Linked DNA regions of Oryza sativa Japonica Group. Each later gene encodes a partner of the first gene's protein in a complex. Links are inferred from orthologs where the notes say so. Each region holds a gene or a part of one and is shown in the gene's direction. Other genes may lie near its edges.

Region 1 (5,601 bases):
CCGCGCTGGTGGTGGTGGTGACAGCGGCGGAGGAGGAGGAGAGGATTGAGCCGGAGAGGATTGAGCCGGAGAGGATTGAGCCGGAGGCGGAGAAGAAGGCCCCCGACACCGGCGAGGGGCTCGCGAAGGCGGCGTGGGCTCTTTCGCTTCCGGCTGACATGGCCGCCACGGGACAGAGAGGCTCCACTCCGGTCTGGAAGGTTTCTGTTTTTTTCCCCTTTCTGCAGAGTCTACTTCTACCTCTCCATCTAAACTCTCAGTTTGAAGATATAAATATGAAGGTCTTTTAATTTGTTTATTTAGTAGTATTAAAATTAGATCAAAATATTTAGTACTCCGTATCTTTTAAGTCACTTCAGTTGTTAGTTTTAAGATTTTGAACGGATCAGATTCCCTTTTGAAGCATCAAATTGACCTGGTTTCACTTAAAATTTAAGTGTTGTGAAACATGATAAATTAGTAAAAGAAATTCTTATATTGTGATATAGAATTTGATTTATAGCAATTCTTATACTGGTACTTTAATTTTTCTTTCGCTTTTACGCTGTTGTACGGGATACCATTCCGAAACAACACGATAAATATCAAGTCTTATACTATATGCATAAAAAGTACCGAATCTGATTGATATTGAGGTACCAAGCAAGATACATATGACTGAGCATCGCTAGTTCATCGATGCCTCGATGCATCCATTTTGTAAAAAGCATGCCCCGGTCTTTTGCTACCATTCTTGGACGACGGAAACAAGTTCCCTTATCATCGAACCACGGTGAAGAAGCATGTCTACCGATATCAGCACAAGACAAGTATGAAGCCAACGAAGACACTGCATGTTGGTTAATGCCGTGCAGCATTGAGCTTGTTGGCAAGCATCCTGTTGCACATTGGGACTAGTGGTGAAGGACAAGAGCAACATGCGCTCGTAAAACGACTCCTTTACTGCAACATTGCATGTCGACGAGGTTATCCCTAACATCGACTAGTGCGGCTACCTTCGCAAGAAGGTGCCAGCCATGCTAACGAAGTTGCCCCCGACACGGATTGGATACAATCCACCTTGCACCATAAAGTCGCCCACATCCGCGAGCCTATTGGAGGCGCAACCAGTAACAACACCAACTAGTTGTAACCATTCACATATGATATAGTCCAAACCAAAGAGGATGGCTCCAACACGGATTGGTGGTATAAGCAGGATTTCTTTGATTAAGATGATTGTGAAAGCTTGTCGAGGCTGTAATTGATTCATGGGCTAGCAATCGAAGGAGCCCATACTTGTTTCGTGCATATCTCTTTTCTCATGAACGGGTTGAGAAATAGGAGAAGTTGTACACATGCTGCTAACTTGCTCGAAGTAGGAGAGGTCTTGTCAGGTGTATGGCGTGTGTATCCCGTTCCAGCTTTTTCTTTGCAGGAGTTTTATTTTAATTTATAATCAAATTTTTTAAAATTGTTTTCCAAATTCCACTTGAAGTCTGTTTTTCTGTTTTCCTAATTCCGCTTGAAGTCTATCCTCCTCCGTATTTGATAAAATGTTGGAGAGAAATTTGTAGGGCTGAAATGCAACTTTATTTGTTGATCCCGATCATCTCTAATCCAAACCGAGCTTATTCTGTGCACGGACGATTTTAAATTTCTGCTCATCACTCATCAGCAGTACAACTCACAAAAAGAGGAACCAATGTCCCACCTGGTGGTGGTCCCGGGCTTCGCTTTCTCTGCGATTCACGCCACCTACAGTGGGCCACACCAAAAAAAATCGCATCCCCACCTCGAAACTCCCGGTCCCACCTAGCAGTCACACAACCCTCACCCTTTTTCAAAAAAGATTCCTCTCCCCGCCCAAAATTACGACCAAATTCAGCACAAATCCAAAACCGAAAAATTACAAAACGAGGAGAGAGAAACGAAACGAAACCACTTCGCCTCCCTCCGCAAAATCCCCCAAACCAAACCCCCCCCCCCCCCCCGCTCGGTGGAATCGGTTGCTCGAACCCTAGCCCCTCCAATGGACGACCACCAAACCCAGGATCTCGTCAAGGAGCTCGTCCACCGCCTCATCTCCGCCGAATCCGGCGGCGGCGGGAGGGATGCGGGGGGCGCGCTGCGGTTCGCGCACCGGCTGCTCTCGAGCCGCCTCGCGCCAGCCGTCCTCCCCGACGAGCACGCGCTCGCGGAGTCCGTCAAGCGCCGCCTCGCCGCGTCGGGCCGCCCCGACGACGCGCTCGCCTTCGCCGACCTCCACGCCAAGCTCTCCGCCAGGTCGCGCCCGGCGTCGCTCTGGCCGCTCCTCTACCTGCTCGACTCGCTCTCCTCCCACCGCCGCGCCGCCGCCGCCGCGTCCTGCCTTCCCAACCTCCCCACGGCCGCGCCCCCGCGCGCCGCGGGCTCGGGGGCGGCGGCGGCGGCGGCGGCGGCAGGGGGGAAGCCGGCCTCGCGGGCGCCCGGGGCCCCGCCCGGCGGCGTGGTGCTGGTCTCCAAGGATCCCGACAACATCCGCGAGATCGCGCTGCGGGAGTACACCGAGCTGGTGCTCGACGAGACGGAGGTGTCGGAGGCGGCGCTCGTGCGCGACGTGCTGTACGCGTGCCAGGGGATCGACGGCCGGTACGTGCGGTTCGACAAGGGCAGCGACGCGTACGACCTCCCCGACGGCGTCCGCGTGCCGCGCTCCACGCGCACCCTGGTGCGCAAGCTATGCGAGCTGGGGTGGCTGTTCCGCAAGGTGCGGGGGTTCATCTCCGACAACATCAGTCGCTCTCCCTCCGATGCTGCCACCGAGGTCGGCACCGTTGCTCAGGCCTTCTGCTCCGCTCTACAGGAGGAGCTCTCTGATTACTATAAGCTCCTCGCCGTTCTCGAGTCTTACTCGCTGAATCCGATTCCTACGCCTGGATCTGATTCAGGGGTGTCTGGTAATTACCTCTCTCTGCGGCGTCTTGCAGTTTGGCTAGCTGAGCCTGCGGTGAGGATGCGCCTAATGGCGGTTTTGGTTGATGGATGCCGGGGTTTGAGAGGTGGCGCAATGGCTGGTGCGATCCATGGGCACGCACAGCATGGGGATCCCACCTTCCAGGATTTTATGGGCCGCTTGCTGCGGCGGGTGTGCTCACCGCTGTTTGAAATGGTCCGAAGCTGGGTGTTAGAAGGGGAGTTGGAGGATGTGTTTGCAGAATTCTTCATTGTTGGGCAGCCAGTCAAGGCTGAGTCTCTGTGGCAGGAGGGCTATCTTCTTCAGTCTGATATGCTTCCAGCTTTCATTTCTCCAGTACTGGCGCAAAGGATTCTTAGAACCGGGAAGTCAATCAACTTTCTTAAAGTTTGCTGTGATGATAATGGTTGGGCAGATGCTGCTACTGAGGCTGCTGTCTGTGTTGGCACCACAACTAGTCGAGGTGGGCTTGGTTATGGGCAGATTGATGCTTTGGAGGCACTAGTGGTTGAAGCAGCCAAGAGGATTGATCGGCATTTGATGGATGTGATCCATAAGCGGTATCGATTCAAAGATCATTGTCTTGCGATTAAGAGGTATTTGCTTCTTGGGCAGGGTGACTTCGTCCAGTATCTGATGGATGTTGTTGGCCCTGAGTTGTCAGAGCCAGCAAATAGGATTAGCTCCTTCCATTTGGCTGGGTTGCTTGAGACTGCGATCCGAGCATCTAACGCTCAATATGATGACCGTGACATCTTGGATCGCATAAAGGTAAAGATGATGGATCATGGAGATGGTGATCGTGGCTGGGATGTGTTTTCCTTGGAGTATGATGCTAGGGTTCCTCTGGATACGGTATTCACAGCTTCTGTCATGAAGAGGTACCTCAAGATTTTTAACTTCCTGTGGAAGCTTAAGCGTGTAGACCATTCATTGACTGGAATCTGGAAGACAATGAAGCCTAACTGCATTGTTTCATCTCCATTTTACAAGGAGGGAACAAACATCAGGTCTCAGTTTGTTTCAGTTCTTCGCAAATGCCAAGTTCTATTTAATGAAATGAACCACTTTGTGACCAACTTCCAGTACTACATTATGTTTGAGGTCCTGGAAGTTTCCTGGGCTCGTTTCTCAGAAGAAATGGATTCAGCAAAGGATTTAGATGATCTTCTGTTGGCACATGATAAGTATCTCACATCGATTGTGGAGAAGTCTCTCCTTGGTGAGAGATCACATGGAATTCTGAGGAATCTTTTTGCACTTTTTGACATCATTTTGCAATTCCGGAGCCATGCTGATCGGTGGTTTGAGCGGATATATGAGTTGCAACTGAGGTTAGATTGTTGCATAATTAACCAATGCCATCTCTCTCCATCTTATTACATATATGCTGTTTGATTTACCTCTTCTTTTTTTTACTGCAGGGGAAAGGGTAAGCCAAAATCAAAAGCAAAAGCTAAATCCAAGGAAGTGGATTCATGGGTGGATGGTGGGAGGAAAGCCATGATTCAGCTGGCTGGGGAACTTTTCCGGAAAATGGGTGAAGATTTGGATAGCATCGCGAAAGATTATACTTCTTCACTTGATGCATTTATCGCTCAGTTACCTATGCAACAGCATGTTGATTTGAAATTCCTACTCTTCCGCTTAGACTTCACTGAATACTACAGTCGTGTTTCGTCTAACAAATGAAGATGTGTTCCTGATGTGGAAAAAGTAGGGAGTTAGATTTACTCTTTGGTTTGGGGTTTGTGAGGCATTCTTTTGTACACCTTAGCCCTGCTGATTGATATTTGGTCATTTGAAAGGCATGGTCTGCCACTTTCATTTGTCCTGAACCTCCTGTTGAATTCACCCTTTAAGGTAACTTCTAGGGCCAATACAACTATCCTCATTTTATATGTGTTTCCCGATGGTAGAAGTGTTTATGTTGATTATTTGGTTTTTCTGCAGAGTTTGCCCACGCATGCCATGAAGTTGGAGGCTTGCTGCCATGCATTCTGAACAACTATAGTGTACAAAATTGATGTAAGTTTACTTTGGTTTTCACTTTTAGATGAACTGGTGTACATTTCATGCACACATTTTCCACCCTGATTTTTTAGAGTTGCATTGTGTGGGGGCTTCTCCTTACCAGTTTGTATTCTTCGGTTACAGGAGAATGAAAAATCTCATTTTGCTAGTTGCTGTTCTTTATCTGGTCATCAAAATTGTTGTTAAGTAATTCAGGATGCCTATAATTCGTTTGTTTGTATGAACCGTATCATTCGTTTCCAATCTCAAAATGGCTGTGCGAAAAGTCTGCACATAATGTGAGTTATTCGAGTCCAATATAAGAGTGCTGATTGCACATGGTGTGGGAACCTTCTGCCAATCTTAATTTCATAAGGAGACATAGACTCGGTTCTTTCGCTCAAAATTTTCTACATTGGGAGTTCAGTTACACAAATATTCATCATGTGAAGAAACCACAGCTCATTTGAATGGCTTCGACTGCAGTTTACCTGCTTGCATTACGGTTGCAACTCTTTCTTCAAGTTTGTACTAGTAATTCAACCTACTTTGCTGTCTTTTGTGGGTTGCTCATGTTGTGCACCTGGCTGCCGGCTTGTACATCAGATATAGTTCTACGTTCTCTTGCCTGATAACCTGTGGAGCCCGATCTT
Region 2 (5,925 bases), on another chromosome or scaffold:
AAAAAAACAAGATTCAACCACAATGGCACAGTATAACACAACAATGTTTGTGAAAAAAATATATTAGTGTGCATATCGTTAGCTTTCCTACCAGCCTACTAATAAAATTTTACGTCGTTTGGAAAAAGCTAAAAATGTTTTGCGGCATTGAGGTTCCATATTTGAAAGTGCAGAAATTGAGAGATGATTTGATTGTTAAAGTTGTTTTGAGGATCCCTGTTATCTTGGCTCTTAAAAAAGCTGGGTCAATCTGAGGAACGATCTATGTTCTTTAAATAAAGTTATTTGAGGGTTATTAAGACATCCAATACATGTGGTGGGAGATGTGTGAGATATATAAAATGACTCTGGTCTCTATATAAGGTTTATAATCATATACTATGAAATCTATTACTCTGTCTGATCAAATTTATTTGACATAAGTCGGGTATTTCTAGCTAGATGGGTATTGTATTTGTCACATACAAACATATCTGGACAACCAGGCGAAGTGACTTTTTACAGAGCCGCTCATATCGTATAGCACATAATATGTTCATATGTGGTAGATTTAGACCACGGGTAACTTAGAGAAAAGATATAAGAGAAAAGAGAGAGGAATACATTTGTGAATATAAAAACAACTGATTAACATGGCATGTGAAAATCAGTTTGTTGATGTTGCGTTACAGAGGAACAAATAACAGCGTAGTATAAAAAATTGTTGCGATGCGGTTTCTTGCATAACATGGAGCCCAAACAAATACTAGGTTTATTATACAAAATAATCAGTAAACATTTTGAATTTAAAATAAAAAAAGAACATCTACACCCATGCTTTCTCGAGTACCCCTACACTTATCTACTTAACATGTGCTTTCTCTATTAGATCTAAGATTTGAACTTAAGAAACACATAAAAAGACAATCAGATGATATAGCATATACCGAAAAAGTTATTGATAATTGGGTAGTCTACTATAATAAACCTTTGATTAAAATATCGGATATCGCTAACTCAATCCTTTGTTTGGAAAAATGGCATGATATATCGAAGAAAATTACATGAGGCCGGTCCTAATCTTCTGGATGGCATGTGGTGCTTGAGCTAAGTCATCAGCGCTATATTTGATCTGATGATGTTGGCAAAAGTGGCAAACACGTTGTTGGTGACCAACAAGGGAGAAACCGGGGAAAAGAGGAACATGGCGAGAAAGATGAGGAAAAACGTGGAAGAAGGATGACTAGAAAGATAACCCAGCATGAACAATTAATTAATACGATGGATGTGGAAATCACAGAGGAATTTCTTCTTCGTTACCCAATGGATCAGATTTAATCATGATTTGATTGGGTAGTTTAGGATATGCCAAATATTGTCCCCACCTGTGTAGTAATCTACAACTATATTCACCTGTAAGCGTAGAATCCATTTTTTTTCAAGGAACAATGCATTGAAGTGATAAACAATATAGATTGATTCAGGGAACATATGGCACATCCTTTTGCACAAGGGGAACAAATTATTGGGACAAAACGACCTAGAGGATGAGAGAATATCAAACTCTTCCTTATTCCTTTAGCTATTATTAACAACACATTATATGGGGATGACTATGACTCCTAGTCGGTATGCATCATCCGACAAAAGTGCATTTTCATTCGATGGATTGATTCATCGCCCAAGCTAACCATGGAGCTATGGTTTCTTGGCAAACCGCCCTTAGAGACCCGCAGGGGGGGGGGAGGGGGGATATATCGGATATATGAAGTGACTAGAGTAGACCAAGTCTATTAGCGATACTTTGAACTATAACTTTATTAATGCCGAAAGCAAAAGATAAAATAGCAAACTATCCTGATCAAGTACCATATGAAAAGAACATTGCAAGCCAAGTCATGCCAATCTAAGGAGCGCAAACAAAGTACGAAGATCACGGTATATACGAGCACTCCCTACAGAAATAAAGCAAACTTTATGAAATAATTAGGGCATATGACTCATTGAGATTTTAAGTCAAGCAAGTAGCTAGACTAGACTAATCTAGATAGCTTACCATATTTATATCTTATCTTACTGAAATAATGCACAATAATTAGGGAAAAAGTAATATTACAAAGGACAAGATTTATATACTTAATACCGTTGAGCACTGAAGAAAGAAATAGAAAGGGTGCAAGGGTTACAGGAGAGTGTGAACATGTAGCTAAGGGATTTCTCATAAATGTAAAAGCATTTTTGTTCTTAAAAATGTATAAAAACCATTTCCCATCTTACAATTTGTGATTGCATTTTTTGGAAAAAAAAAAGAGAAGGAATCCACAAAAGTGCCCAACACAAAGCTTCGACCATTGCCGTCCCAAGCGTTCAAATTTTCCACCTCGAGGCCTACGGGCGGCCTGTACGATTTACCTGTTGGTTCGGTCGCTCCGTTCCTCCGGCTTCCGCCTTTCCTCGTCGCGGCTATACGGCTATTATACCTACCAGCCACCACACCACCCTTCTCCCACACTTCTCCACTGACTCCTCGAGATGGATCCCGCGCCGGCGACCCCTCGCTGGAACCTGGAGCGGCCGTACCTCACCGGCCGCTTCCATCAGGTACGCCTCCCTTCTCTCCTCCTCCTCCTCCTCCTCCCCTGTCTCGGCTGCCCCCATTGCCGCCTCCGCCTCATCCACCCTCGCGCTCTCTCTCTCGCAGGAGGCCAAGGTGGCTGCGGCGGCGCAGGGGGCCGGATCCAAGCCTTACTCCCTCGACTCCTTCAGGTGATTCGCCGGTTAAAATTTCGCGCGATTTTTTTTTTGGTGCTCGCCTCGTGGTTTTTCTGATGCCCCGGAGTTCGTTTGAATCTGCAGCCGCGGCGGCGGCGGCGGCGGCGGCGCTGAGAGTGTCATCGGATCGTACGCCGTCTCAGTGCAGGTACCGGTAGCTTGTACTTTTAGGTTGTTTAGCTGGCTTAATTGGCTTCGAGCGACTACTTTTTTAATGGACCGATGCTAGGGTTTAGGTTCCGGTTCCGCGCTTCTACTTCGAGCTCAATGGTTCGGGTTAATTGGAAGAATTCGTCGTGTTTTTTTTCTCTCTACATGTGCATGAACTGTAAATTGTTGTTAACCAGAGTCTGGATTGGAGCTAGGAATGTTATTGAACACTGTATTTTGATTTTTTGGACTGCCTACTTCCTTGAATTCAGAAAACAATATTATGTAACGGTGCTAGGTTAGAATTTTCTTTTGATATTTTGGTTCATGTGGTCAATGTAGTGTGAGTAGATATAATTTCAGATAATAAAATATTTTGTTACATAACTCGAATCTTCTGTTTGAATTTGAGTGATTCTCAGAGTTTGTTGGTCGGTGGTGTTCATGACATACTGACATGCCGTGCTAAGTACAACATATTTGTTGTAACAATGTCACAAAATAGCTGCATTTTCACTATGTTGCTTTAAGCAGCTATTCTATGAGGCTCAATATTGTAATATCTTCATTTTGCACATCTTTAAAATTATCTGAAGTAATTTAGCTTTCACAAACAACTGAAAAGTGTAACTCCAACCTATCTGTTATTGATTTGCAGGAGCTTTTGGTCATTGATGATTTGTTATCAGCTCTTGTGGGTATTGAGGGACGATACATTTCGATTAAGAGAGTACGGGGAAAGGAGGGGTATGTTGTCTTCCAGATTGATTCTTCAATGGACCTTGCACTCCAGGTAAGGCCTGAAGAGTACAACAACTGGATCATGAATTGCCTCCAAAAAGGCAGATGCGTTTGGTACTTAACTCTTTGGGTTTTTGCAGGAATTAACTCGTCGGATTTTTCCCTTATGTGAGGATTTTGTCTTGGTATACCATTTTGTGGAGTCCAGATCACATTTCAAGAGTGGCCTGGTCAACCATGCTCTAGCTGCAGCATTGAGGGCATTCCTCTTGGTAAACTCCCTCTTTCGAGCCAGGAATATTTTAATTAATTTGCCTTGACTACAAGCTTTCTTATGTTTGGAAAAGGTGGCAAAAACGAATATACTAACAATTTCATATTATATAGTAAAAACAGTAATGCCTGAATCATGAGTTCAAGTGTTCAGTTGTTTATTCTGACATGGAAACATTTGCATAAATTGTATTGGTAGAGAGTAATCTTATTACATTATCCTTAAATTAAAAGAAGGCCTATGTTTTCCAGTATTGGTCCTCATATGTGTATTTGGCACGAAGTTAAGTGTTTTATTTGTTTATCAGGATTATCAGGCAATGGTTGCTCAACTGGAGCACCAGTTCCGTCTTGGGAGACTGTCAGTTCAAGGATTGTGGTTCTTTTGTCAGGTGAGTTTTATTTACTGCATTAATTATTTATCCTGATTTGATTATCATTTTAAGCACAGCAAGTCCTGATGTGCTTTTTGGCAGAGGATGATGAGTTCATTGAACGCACTTGCTGTTCTAGTCGAGAAAGCTATCTCCAATAACACCAGTGGTTCTGCTACACTTAATCTACTTCAAAGTCAGGTATTTCACCTCTGAGATACATTTTTTTTCTTTTGCATCTCTCTTTCTCCAAGTACGAGAATCTGGTGGGTATGAATATCGTTTTCAGTAGGCTCCTGCAATCCAAGCTGAACAGACTGGTTTTCTTATCGGCATAACATATTTCTTTAACATAGCCGATTTCTCAACATTCAGTTTTTTGTTGCCTTTTCATTCTGGTCCACATGATTAGCTCTTTCATCCATGTATTAAATTGCTGTACTCCTTTCAACATAGGCAAAGGCAATGGCTGGCGATAGTGCTGTTCGATCATTACTGGAGAAGATGACAGAGTGTGCAAGTGCAGCGTATCTTAGGATGTTAGAAAGGTTCATCATGTTCATATCTTATTGTCTTTGCTACTTATCGGTTCTTACATTTTGTGTTGAAGTTAACAAGCATTTTGTAATTGCCAGTTCTTAATTGGATTGTAGTGTTAAGACTTAAGACTTGTTTAGATTAAAAACTTAATTAGCTTGTCTGCTGTATTTTGATAATTTCAGCTTCTAATGGGCTTCATTTTAGGTGGGTCTATGAGGGCGTTATAGATGATCCTTATGGTGAATTCTTCATTGCTGAAAACAAATCCTTGCAGAAGGTACCGAATGACTTAGAATTTCTGGCCTACTTAAATTCCATCGTTCTCTGCATTTTCATAAGACTAGAATACTGGGTTTGTTATATTCTTAAGATAATCAGAGGCTTTCTTTGATTTTGATAGGAGAGCCTTACTCAAGATTATGATGCTAAATATTGGCAGCAAAGATACAGTCTAAAAGATGGCATCCCTAGTTTCCTTACCAATGTTGCCGCCACAATACTGACAACTGGAAAATATCTTAATGTTATGAGAGAATGTGAGTACACTGTCCAGGTATGCATGATTATTTTCTGTGGTTGCATCACTAGATGCTATTTTATATGTGTGTGTTATAAGAACACACTTGTCTTACATACTATGCTTAGGTTCCCTTGTCAGAGAGTTCTAAGCTGATGGGCTTTGGTTCAAACCACCAATATCTTGAATGCATCAAATCTGCGTATGACTTTGCAAGTGGTGAACTCTTGACTCTAATGAAAGATAAGGTTACAATTGTTCATAGCAAATGCACTATTAGATTTCATTTTCTTCTGTGGTCTGGATTCTAATTTTGTTTTATTTACCGTGTAGTATGATCTCATTGGGAAACTGCGATCCCTCAAGCGATATCTACTTCTTGACCAAGTATGGAGAAAATTGTGGAGAACATTTACTCTATTATGTATTATTACTCCACATCAGTACTCTTTAAAATCCACACTCGCTGGGTATATTCTATTAATACAATGATATTGATAGTGACAATGCATGTCATGTTGTCAACTTGAGTTTAAACACATCCATATTTATTTTCCTTGTATTAGTTCTCCAATTTGC

The links. Proteins that work in one complex are often made in the same cells at the same time.
Region 2: gamma-tubulin complex component 3 (region 1) and gamma-tubulin complex component 2 share a complex: the UniProt entries of both Arabidopsis thaliana proteins name them as parts of the gamma-tubulin complex. The link is inferred for Oryza sativa Japonica Group from reciprocal best matches to the Arabidopsis thaliana genes SPC98 and AT5G17410.

Annotation. Positions count from the first base shown.
Region 1 is NC_089043.1:21,011,528-21,017,128, forward strand, and holds gamma-tubulin complex component 3, read left to right. Parts: upstream 1-1,980; 5' UTR 1,981-2,011; coding exon 2,012-4,269; intron 4,270-4,359; coding exon 4,360-4,627; 3' UTR 4,628-4,798; intron 4,799-4,888; 3' UTR 4,889-5,117; downstream 5,118-5,601. Other genes in the region: uncharacterized protein, read right to left, coding at 1-160. UniProt on the Arabidopsis thaliana protein: Gamma-tubulin complex is necessary for microtubule nucleation at the microtubule organizing centers (MTOCs). Required for the positioning of the gamma-tubulin-containing complex on pre-existing microtubules and for the proper organization of cortical arrays.
Region 2 is NC_089038.1:25,543,434-25,549,358, forward strand, and holds the start of gamma-tubulin complex component 2, read left to right. Parts: upstream 1-2,418; 5' UTR 2,419-2,511; coding exon 2,512-2,580; intron 2,581-2,680; coding exon 2,681-2,745; intron 2,746-2,835; coding exon 2,836-2,899; intron 2,900-3,559; coding exon 3,560-3,694; intron 3,695-3,782; coding exon 3,783-3,914; intron 3,915-4,223; coding exon 4,224-4,307; intron 4,308-4,391; coding exon 4,392-4,490; intron 4,491-4,745; coding exon 4,746-4,837; intron 4,838-5,033; coding exon 5,034-5,106; intron 5,107-5,229; coding exon 5,230-5,382; intron 5,383-5,474; coding exon 5,475-5,594; intron 5,595-5,679; coding exon 5,680-5,733; intron 5,734-5,925. UniProt on the Arabidopsis thaliana protein: Gamma-tubulin complex is necessary for microtubule nucleation at the microtubule organizing centers (MTOCs). Required for the positioning of the gamma-tubulin-containing complex on pre-existing microtubules and for the proper organization of cortical arrays.